2 linked regions of the Oryzias latipes genome follow. The protein of the gene in region 1 interacts with the protein of each later gene in a pairwise test. Links are inferred from orthologs where the notes say so. Each region holds a gene or a part of one and is shown on either strand. Other genes may lie near its edges.

Region 1 (5,196 bases):
CAAAGGTGTTTCTGCACTGATGTGTCACAGCGTTAAATGTGTGTGTTTGTGTGTGTTTTCACACTGAGCACCTTAGAAAACTTCCAGCTTTTTCAAACTTCCACATCGGCTTAGCAGCTGAAGGACTAACGGACGGAAACGTTCATCCAAATGTGCATTTATACCTTTAGGGAAAAGTAGAAATACACGACTTGTGTATTTCTACATCTGTTGGTACTTTTTTTTTTTACTTTAAATTGTGTGATGTGGGCGGGGCTTTTCATATTCTGAGCAGGGATTGGTTAGTGGGATTTTCTGCTCTCTGTGATTCTGTACGTTTGATACTTTCCAGGAGACTCAAACGTGTTCTAGACTAACCACAGTGGGTCTGGGCTCTGGCCCCGCCCCCTCACTAAGGTTTTGACCTTTGGACATTGGTGAATGAGTTCAAATGCGTCCATCCTTCAGACCTTCAGCAGTGCAGAACGCTGCTGCACAGGACCGTTCTGCATGTGTCGGATGGGAGATTCCAACGTCTTAAAGCACTTCTTCTGTCTTCTGGAGCTTTCACTGCCAAAACGTTTGTCATTGAGACGCTGATGTGCCTGGAAGAGAATCTGATGCAGCTTCTTCCCTTAATGTGTCCTTAAGTCTGTTTGGGGCTCCAGGACTTCCCTCAACTTTATAAAGTTTGGTAAAAAAATCATTTCTACTGTTGTCTTTTTGTGGTTTTCCTCCTTTTTATCTTCATTATCAAACGTTTGTTAAACAGCTAAACAGTTTAGGGTAAATAAATTCACTTTGGGGTTACGCTCATGTTTCACAAGCTTTAAAGCTGCCTTTAAGTTCCAAATGGGAAGAAAACATTTCCAATAAACTGACCTTCACAGTGGGGACGACCTGAGGAAGCAGTTTAAACCTTCCATAACTGATCTTCTCTGCGTCACGTCAGACACACTTGGAGGTGGTTAAACGATTTCAGATGAAGCTTTTAAAGAAACAGCTGGAGAACCGATGGGGGCCAAAGTCTGAACGACACACCAACACCGCTCTGGGAAACGGAACCAATCTACACATCTTGTCATTTCAGTTTCCTGTCCAGGTTAAACCACAAAAAAATGAGAACAGACAGGATTTCAATGAAAGACTGATCCACACTGAAGATGTAAATTATTCCATTTTACTTGTATGAATTGTAATTTCAGAACAATTTACGAACAAAAACGCATTTCATTCAAGAATTAAGTTTGTTTTAGAAAGTTTTTCATCCAAATATTTTGATGACTGAAGTTAAAATTATGAGAAGAATTACCTTGAGGTTTGACCGATGCGTTTGAGAAAAACGGGGATTCGGAGATTCGTTGGGTTTTGTGTGGAAAGAATCTCGAGTCTGTAATGTCTTCTTACATTTCTATTGATTCCATATTCAGACAAACATTGAATACATTTGAGTGCTACATTGTATAGGATGAAAACTGTAACGACAACAGAAATTAAGCAAGACTTAAGAAACCAAAGCGGCTTTCTTACTGCCGGAGAACAGGATTTTCAGAGCGACCGCGAACGCAGCACCGGAGAGGCTACTTGCGGAAGTGTGTGAAAGGAAAATCACATGACCGAGCTGCAGCCGCTCCAAGCGCTACCCGACATGGACAAACGTCTCCGGACACGGTGACCCTTCACCGAGCAGCGGCGTGGGCTCTGACACGGTGACGTCCACGGTGAGTGGGGCTGGCGGGGCGGTCGGTTTCTACGCCGTTAACGGGGTTACCGCGGGGTTCGTTTAGCAGCTAGCCGCTATTATGGCTAACAGCTGCCCCCGCGCGGAAGCAGCTGAGCCCGGACACCCCCGCACACACACTTGAGTCACCGTCTCTGTGTCCGCAGATGGAGGAGATCAAGGTGTCTCCAGACTACAACTGGTTCCGAAGCACCGTGCCACTTAAGAGGGTAAGTTCCCGCCTCGTCACGCGCCTCACTCCGGAGCAGCTGGACCGTCGCCGATGCGATGAGGGCTAACGCTCGCGCGCGTTGAAATTCTTATGAAACACCTGCTCTCGTGGTCACGTGATACAAAAGCACCCCAGGTGTGAAGGGGTCCATTCCGTGACGGGTCATCGGGATTCTGTCCTGCTGGATCAACCTTCAGGTTCTGATGAGCCGAACCTGTTCAGAACCGAGCTTCAGGACAAACACAGCTGAACTCCTTAAACCCAGAGAGGTTATTTTTCTGAAACTACATGCACACCGTTCAGACCAGGTGTTCACACTGCGCCTGCAGGGAGGGGCTTCTTCTTCTTCTTCTTCTGTTTACTAGCCTCAACCTACAGTCGGAGGAGGCTTGCTGTGAAATGTCCTCCAGACTTTTGTGACTGACTCTGTCGTAGAATTCGGTTGGTTCTGTAAATGAACCCTTTAATCGCCGTGGCTTTAGCGCCCGTGTTCTTTACCGTACCTGGTTTTAAAGCCCTCCTATTCAAAGGTTGAGGATTACTTTATATGGAAATGAGGGCGTGGTCTTTAAGCTGACAGGTGGTGGTAGTATCATGGTCTCTAAAGCACACGTTAGCTTGTCACGCTGTCTAAGAAACGTTTTACAAATGTTATGCACTAATACTTGATCTTGTGACCTGCTTCCCTTCTGTTCAATAAAATCACCATGAAAACAGTTGACAAACAACAAAATAAGACCAAGAACGCACTGCTTAGACCACGCCCCTTCGCCATTACGTGTTTTCATTTTGTCCCTTCTGTCTCACCTGTTTCCTGTATTCACTTTTTAAACTGGTTTATGGTTTTTCTGGAGAACCACAGTTTGGAAAAATGAAGCTCCGCTCAAACAGATGTTTGATAAAATCATAAAGTTTTTATGATTTTGCTCAAATGTTGTCTTTTTTCAAATTTTATTTACATTCAGATTGTTGTAAACATTGTTTTTGTGGTTAGTGAATATAGTAGGAAGACTCTGCATCTCATTCCACAGCAGAAAAAAAAGGTTTTACCTTGGAAAAAGGAAGCTTGGAGCCTGACAGCTGTGTTTCTATTTTAGTCTAAGAAAATATCACAACGTTTTCTGCTAAAGATGTTTAATTTAAACCTCACAAATCCCCTCATGAGTGTCAGGCGTCTCTGCATTTAGTTTGTTAGGTTTTTTTCAAGATTTGTGGTCAATTATTGCTTAAACAATCGTTCTGATTGCTTTAGTTCATGACTTTTGTGTTGAGTTCTGCGTGAAAATGAGAAATCTGAGGCTGGATTTCAGCGGCACGGATCGCCCTCTTGGATTAAGATGAGATTAGCTTTCAGAAAACGGGTTTGGTCCTCGGATCTGCTGTTTGGTGGAACAACGGCTCGCGTTGTCTTTTGGAATAAGACGATTATTCCCGTCGGGTTTTTAGCTCACAGATCTCTTAAAAATGGGGATTTGTTTGGCGTTGGAGCCGACACCCGGCTGGTTCCCGCAGCTGGAGGTTGAGCCGCTGCTGCTGAGGCTCTGAGAGGTGGAGAGTCATGTGACGGCGTTCATCACCCAGCCGTCACATGCTTCCCTCAGCTTCACACGGGCATCACATGTGCTGCTTTTACTGGCACGAATCCACTCGTTTTCCCTCTGCTCACTCATGCACTTCAGGAGAGATGCATTCTGGGACAGAGAGGTTGAGTGACTGATGCAGGTCAGCTTCTGGCAGCACGGCTTAAAACCCCCCAGACAAGTTTGATCTGAAGGATTTAAGATTTTCAGAAAAACCTCTCTGCAGATTCTTTTGTTACCACTGACTGTATACCGGAACTGGACGGAGGGGCCCCTCCCCTTTGCTACAAACAGGAAGTATCTGCAAATCAACAGCTGTCATTCTGTTGGTCAGAAGAACCGTTCTGGATCGGATACCTTTTTGTTTTTAAACATCTACTTGATAAAACTCTTTTTTTTTCCTGTATCTCAAGTTAGTCAAGTCATTAACTGGCCAATCAGACGCCTCAATAAAAGTAGGCGGAGCCTGTTGACCCCCTTGTCCAGTGTTCAAAACGTTTACAGCTTTCCAGTGGTAGGGGCGTGGCCTTCCAACAAGCTCACTCCTGATTGGTGGGAGGGGCTGCCATAGAACAAAGCGTCAATGCTAACATTTTAGCTGTTAGCACATGAATTCTTCAACTGGATGCTATTTGTTCTGGTTTTGCTTTTTAAGATGCAGAATTTTCTTTTTCTTTTTTTAGTTGGTGTTTTTCAGCCTTTGGCTCCGGTTGATCATTTTGGTTGAACTCGGCCTTTTGAGTTCTTCTTGTGGTCGCGGTTCACTTCTGACGTTTGTGCTGCTGATCGTTTAGTGTTCTGCTTCCTGATTGGCTGTCGTCAGTCCGTCTCCTGAACAGAACCCATCAGATGGTTGTTCTCCTGCTATCGTCTCATGTTTCTCCAAAGGTCTGACCTGTCAGAGTGAAACGTCTAGAAAGTCTTCAGTCAGGAGTTTTCTGCCTTCAAACATCTAGACTCTAACGCCGCCATTTTCATCCATCGCAGGTTATTTTTTACAACAGAACCCGTGTGATGAACAAACAACCGAACCCTTTATGGACCGTCATGACGCTGTTGTATTTTCGTAGTATTTAGAGATTCATTTGTATTTGCTTTTTTTTGGCCTTGTTTGGCATGTTTCTGCTTCTCGCTGCACTTTTCACATTTTTCCTCTTTTGTTAAACTTTTGTGATTTTAGATTTTAGCATTTCTTTCTTTGGAGCGTTCTCTTCTGGTTCCGTTGGTTCCGTTGGTTCCCCGCCCTCTCTGAGGCGAGTTCTCTGGTTTCCTGTTTCCTCCAGATCATCGTGGATGACGACGACAGTAAGGTGTGGTCTCTGTACGACGCCGGCCCGAAGAGCGTGCGCTGTCCCATCATCTTCCTCCCGCCGGTCAGCGGGACGGCCGAGGTCTTCTTCCAGCAGGTTCTGGCCCTGACGGGCTGGGGGTACCGGGTCATCTCGGTAAGCAGGTTCATCCTGTTCTCCTGCACATCTTCACGTTAACTCAATCCTTTATGTTTACATGTCATTTATCCGCATCGGTTGATTCCGGTCGCTGATGAAGGTTCTGATGAAGAGTCCGGCCTGAACGGATGGTGCAGCGTTTCCCTGAGCGTCTGGACTTGACGGTTCCTCTGTTCTGGTTTCAGCTGCAGTACCCGGTCTACTGGGACCTGCTGGAGTTCTGCGACGGCTTCAGGA
Region 2 (5,297 bases), on another chromosome or scaffold:
TGAACTCAAGAAAAGAGCATTAAACAACAGATATTCAAAAAACAAATTTGATATAAAATAAACCTAGTTACAATGGGGTTTTTTTTTCCCACTACATAGTTAGATATCATTGTATTAATAGAATAATATCTGTTTCTTAAAACAGACAAAAATCAAACAAAAAAGTCTTAGTATAGTAAATATTATAAAAGATTGATGGTAAATCAAATGGACTTTTCCCACCTGGTATTCTTCCTCCAGTCTGGAGAGCAGCACCGCCTGCTCCACTGTCAGGTATCGGTCAACCATCCCCAGTGAAAGCAAAATAGACTTCAGCTGCGAGATCACAAACTCAAGTCCTGCAAAGAAACAGACACAATTCTTAAACATTTCAAAAACAATAAATACATCATCTCAGCCTGCACAAGTTGAGATCTATAGATGATCACGTTTTCTGGAGTTGAGATGTCTTACCCGTCAGGGACCAGAGGCTGTAAGAATTGAGATGCTGTCGAAAAGTTTCCTTGGTTGCCTGTGGAATTTCAGGACCCAGAATGCTCGATGAAGATCCAATAGTGACATTGTATCTGCCATGCAATAGTACAGAGAAAATGCATAATAATGTATGGTTTACTGAGACAGTTCCTACATCATTTGGAAGTCTACTGCACAAGATGTGAAGATTAATGCTTTTGTTTTATTTTTTTTACCGGTTTTCAATCCAGTGCAGAACCGGATCCCACTCGTTCTTCTGTAGGTCCACTAAACCAGGAGGATCCTCCACTCTGTAACTGAATCAAAGCATAAATAAATCACTGTTTTGTGACAACAAGGTAACTTAATCTGAAAATGAAACTTAAAAAAAAGAGGCAGCCAAATGGCAGATGCTATAAGAGAGCAGCACAGCCTGCTCCACAGTCAGGTATATGGCAACCATCTCCGGTGAAAACAAAACAGACCTTGCTTTCACTTTACTGGCCAGACAATGATGGTCCTATTAAAGAAATTAGGTCAAAGAAAAAGTTTGTTGCATTCATTTTCACAGTAATTCTTTATTTTTAATGCTTTGGAGTCTGGAATCATCTGACAATGGACCGAGAAAAAAAAGTTTCTCCTGCAAATATCTAGTATATGAAATTCATAGAAGTTCCAAAATTCATTTCTTTTATTTTATTTCCATAAACAAAAATGCTAGTTTTCTGCAATAAGCTAAAAACATCTGCTTTCTTTTACAGTGGCATTACAGTTTAGTGCAAAATGCTACATTAGTCAAATAAAGGGAGATAACTAAAAATACACTGCATAATTATTAATAATAATCACAATAACAAAAGGATCAACACAAAAAAACAGTAAAATAAAATTGTTAATTAGCTAAAGAAATTAAGAAAGTGAACGTTGCTAAATCCTAAGCTAATATGCTAAAGTAAATAGAAAATGTAAAAAGATATATAGTGCCAATAAATGTATTACAAATTCACACCTACACAATAAAGTAGCTAAAACATAATAATTGTAAATAAAAGACTGATGCAAATCTGTTTGCTAAAACTACTAAGGTATCCATAAAACAATTAAGCAGACAAGTGTAAAGAAGTTGAATATTTCAGGACCACAATAAAATGTTTAAATTAAATTCTGAATAAGATAATAAGTTTTTTTTAAATATGTGTAAAAAGTTAAAAAGACAAGGGAAATAAATAAATATGTAATATATAAATTTAAAGAACTAAAGGGATTATCTAATACATAGTTGACAGTTAAACAATATATCTCATTATACAAGTATAATTTATAATAATGAAAAAAAAAGTCTAAATTATATTAATAGGTTCGAACATTTTCAAAAAGCTAAAAAGTAATTGCATTTTGACTATTATTTGCAAAAAAAATTGCAAAAAAAGAGCACAGAATGGCAGATAACGTTTTATTTTTTACAAAGAGAAATAGAAAAAAAAAAAAACATATTAGATGTAGTTGCATCTCACAAGTCCAGGATTTGTTTGGGTACTTTTTATCTAAACAAACCTAATTTTGAATTTTCTATTGTTTTGGTATTTCTGTTAGGTGCTTTTATTTTGAAGTCCTTGTTGCTTTTCTCTCTAGATTAAGAACATTTTTTCTCCATTCAAGTAAAATATTGATTTGAAATACAGGTGTTTTATCTTTTAAACTGAGTAACCGGCATAAATGAGCCAAATAATCATCAACTCTGGACAGAAACAGTATAAAAGCTAAATCCATACCAGATCGTGTCAGTCTCCAAAAACTTCAACGCTGAATTGATCATTTGCTCCTTGTTGCGTTGGGTGGGGTTGTCCAGAGCCGTGTTGCACAAAGTGGTCTGCAAGAAAAGTTCAACCGGCATATGAGTACGGCTGGCTACACACTGTGGTGTAAATAGGTCAGAAAAAATATCCCATACAAGGTGCATGGTATAAAACTTGAGTGTCCCCCTCTGAGCATCCCACTCTGTTGCCACGGCGATAGCCAGGGCTTCATTTGGTACTGTGAACAGCTTCCCTCCTGGAGTTTTGAGTTTCCTTCTATCCAGATTTATTTCATACAAACCATCTATGGACAAAATCGTCACAAAATTAGAGAATATAATCAATCTTGGTCTTCCCTGGAACAATAAATAAAATTATTTTAAATTTTAAATAAGACTCACCATCTCCTTGAGATATGCTGACATCTTGATAAAATCTCTTCCTCTCTGTCAAATAGCAAAACATGTAGCACATGATTAGCACACAGCATATTGATAATTAATAATAGTAATGTCAAAATAAACACGTTTACCTGTAGATGCAGTGGAGTATTTTGACAAACACTTGGAGTACTGATGACTGGGACACGACTTGCAAACTGAAATTACATTTCCAAAGGAATTTCGAAGTTGAAAAACACGTCTAAACATATTCATACCTAAATTTGGACGTATACTGTTTACAATAAAAAAGACGATTCACTAGCGATTTCTTAAGCCGGTCTCTCACGCACTAAAGTACCACATTGAACAAACAGATCTTGAGTGTATAATGAACCTGACTCTACAATAAATCTGTTGTTAAACATTAAGGTTTTCATCTAGCTTACAGTAACACATCGGTTCAAAACCACGCGTGTGACCTTCGATGCTACAAAGCTACAAAATGTTTTCATTGCATGCTTTGGGAAATGTAGTTTATTTTTGGCACTGCTAACGCTTACACATCACTTAAAAACTACATCAAAAATGTTCACGAATACTCTTCCGCCTGCTCAGCCAATGAGCGTCGACGATCTTCGAGGGTGAAGTTGTTGGACCAATGAGATAAGCCGTTGCTACTGGTTACAGCGCAGCTTCGAAGTCCACTTTTAGTTCTGGGGAGCTTGATGCTTCGCAAACTGAACTGTGGCGCAATTAAGAGCAATTTGAATGTTTGAGGACCTCCTCGGGACTTTCTTTCTGGCTGGTCGTACAGGTTGACCGAGTCCCGCTGCCGCACGGCCGTTGACCGCGGTTGGAGTTCAGCCTGCGAAGCTGGAGCTATGCCTGTCCCCGCTGGATATCTCAGCGAGTTCCCGGCCGCGGCCTTTGCATCCTCGGCCTCGCTTATCCCGCTGCCGCCGATAAACACTCACCAGCCCGGTGTTGTCACGTCGCTGCTGTACAGCGGCTCCAAGTTCAGAGGCCACCAGAAAAGCAAAGGGAACTCCTACGACGTTGAGGTGGTCTTACAGGTGGGGGGCACCGAGGCGGAAATGTTGCTTTTCGTACTGCGAGCGCGAGGCTTTCGGGTGATGTGTCAAAGTGGCGGCTGGAAGAGTGACAGCTGAAAAAAAAAGGGGGTCCCGGCCTGTCCTGGACCAACTGTGGGTGTAGTGGTGGGAGTAGCAGAGCAACTGCGCCCAAACAACACCGACTAACAACAACCAGCTGCACAATTTTCTACCAGTTTAAATTAACACAAACTATCACAACTAGCTTAAATGTTGCAACATTAGGGGCTGTTGACATTTTTTGAGAAACTGCAGCTTCTGACCGTCAAGTTTTGTTTTTGTTATTTTTTTTAACATAAATTCAGTGGAGATTTGACCTAAAAGTTCTGTTTATTATTTGTTACAGCATGTCACAATGGAGGATTCCTACTTGTGTGGCTATTTGAAAATAAAAGGACTCACAGAGGTCAGTTCTGTTCATATTTAGAGGATTCATGTTGGAATATGTACATGTGGATGAACTGGACTTAGAATTTTAAATGTTTTTGCAAGTTTTTCCTCCACCTTTTGTGTAATTTTTCTTGCAATGACTAAATATTAGTCCAACTGATCGTGAGCCAAATAATTCTACATAGTTTTTTGTTTTGTTCTGCCTCTGAAGTGCAGATATTTTTAATTAAGGGATCGATTTGCTTAGAATATTTTTAAACGTCTTAATTTTCTATTAATGATTTATACATAGCGATAACCTAGCCTTAACGCTGTAAAGTTTACAAAACAAGATTGTTGGTATAATCCAGTTGCACATTTTCGTAGGAATATCCGACCCTGACCACTTTTTTCGCCGGGGAGATCATCAGCAGGAAGAGGCCGTTCCTCACCCGAAAGTGGGATGCAGACGAGGACGTGGATCGTAAGCACTGGGTAAGTAAGACGACACTTTTTCCACGCTCGGCGTCCGCGGCGACGTGGCCGTCTCGCCGTAACTTTATATGCGCTCTCTTTTGGCACCAAGGGCAAGTTCCAGGCTTTCTACCGGTATGCGAAGACTTTTAACTCTGACGAGTTCGACTACGAGGATCTAAAGAACTCGGACTATATTTTTATGAGGTGGAAGGTAAGCCTCGACCTGTTTGCTAGTGAACTCCAAGATGCAGCCGCTCTCATTTAGCTCCTCTCTGTCTGCAGGAGCAGTTCCTAGTTCCTGACCACACCATCAAAGACATCAGCGGCGCCTCCTTTGCAGGATTCTACTACATCTGCTTTCAGAAATCTACGGCAACAATCGAGGGCTACTACTACCACAGGAGCTCCGAATGGTAACGAATCACACCTGCGTTGGTTTGAAAAATAAGTAGATCTCACATCCTTTCACAGATTTGCACTGACATGGAAAAGATGACTCGACGTCACAGGCATCCTGACGGAGACGGCATCAGATTTAGGAGAAAACAACCAATCGTTTGCGTTTTTATCGCAGAGAAGTCCATCGTTTTCGTCCGAACGTCTGTTTTTAGCAGAGAATCAGGGACTTAACTGGTTAGTGAAGAGCAGAACCACAACCGAAGCAACACGGAGAACCAAAGTATGATGTCATAGAAACCCTTGTGGGG

What was found.
Region 2: the proteins of spg21 (region 1) and atpaf2 interact in binary tests that used the Homo sapiens proteins (3 or more experiments, as listed by UniProt). The two-hybrid records come from large-scale screens. The link is inferred for Oryzias latipes from reciprocal best matches to the Homo sapiens genes SPG21 and ATPAF2.

The regions. Positions count from the first base shown.
Region 1 is NC_019861.2:37,279,698-37,284,893, reverse strand, and holds the start of spg21 (maspardin), read left to right. Parts: upstream 1-1,566; 5' UTR 1,567-1,700; intron 1,701-1,866; coding exon 1,867-1,929; intron 1,930-4,794; coding exon 4,795-4,956; intron 4,957-5,144; coding exon 5,145-5,196. UniProt on the Homo sapiens protein: May play a role as a negative regulatory factor in CD4-dependent T-cell activation.
Region 2 is NC_019877.2:3,255,681-3,260,977, reverse strand, and holds the start of atpaf2 (ATP synthase mitochondrial F1 complex assembly factor 2), read right to left. Parts: upstream 3,150-5,297; 5' UTR 2,906-3,149; coding exon 2,782-2,905; intron 2,696-2,781; coding exon 2,651-2,695; intron 2,554-2,650; coding exon 2,405-2,553; intron 2,324-2,404; coding exon 2,226-2,323; intron 771-2,225; coding exon 690-770; intron 567-689; coding exon 454-566; intron 339-453; coding exon 223-338; intron 1-222. Other genes in the region: gid4 (glucose-induced degradation protein 4 homolog), read left to right, coding at 3,514-3,705, 4,091-4,150, 4,501-4,608, 4,700-4,801, 4,873-5,003. UniProt on the Homo sapiens protein: Plays a role in the assembly of the F1 component of the mitochondrial ATP synthase (ATPase).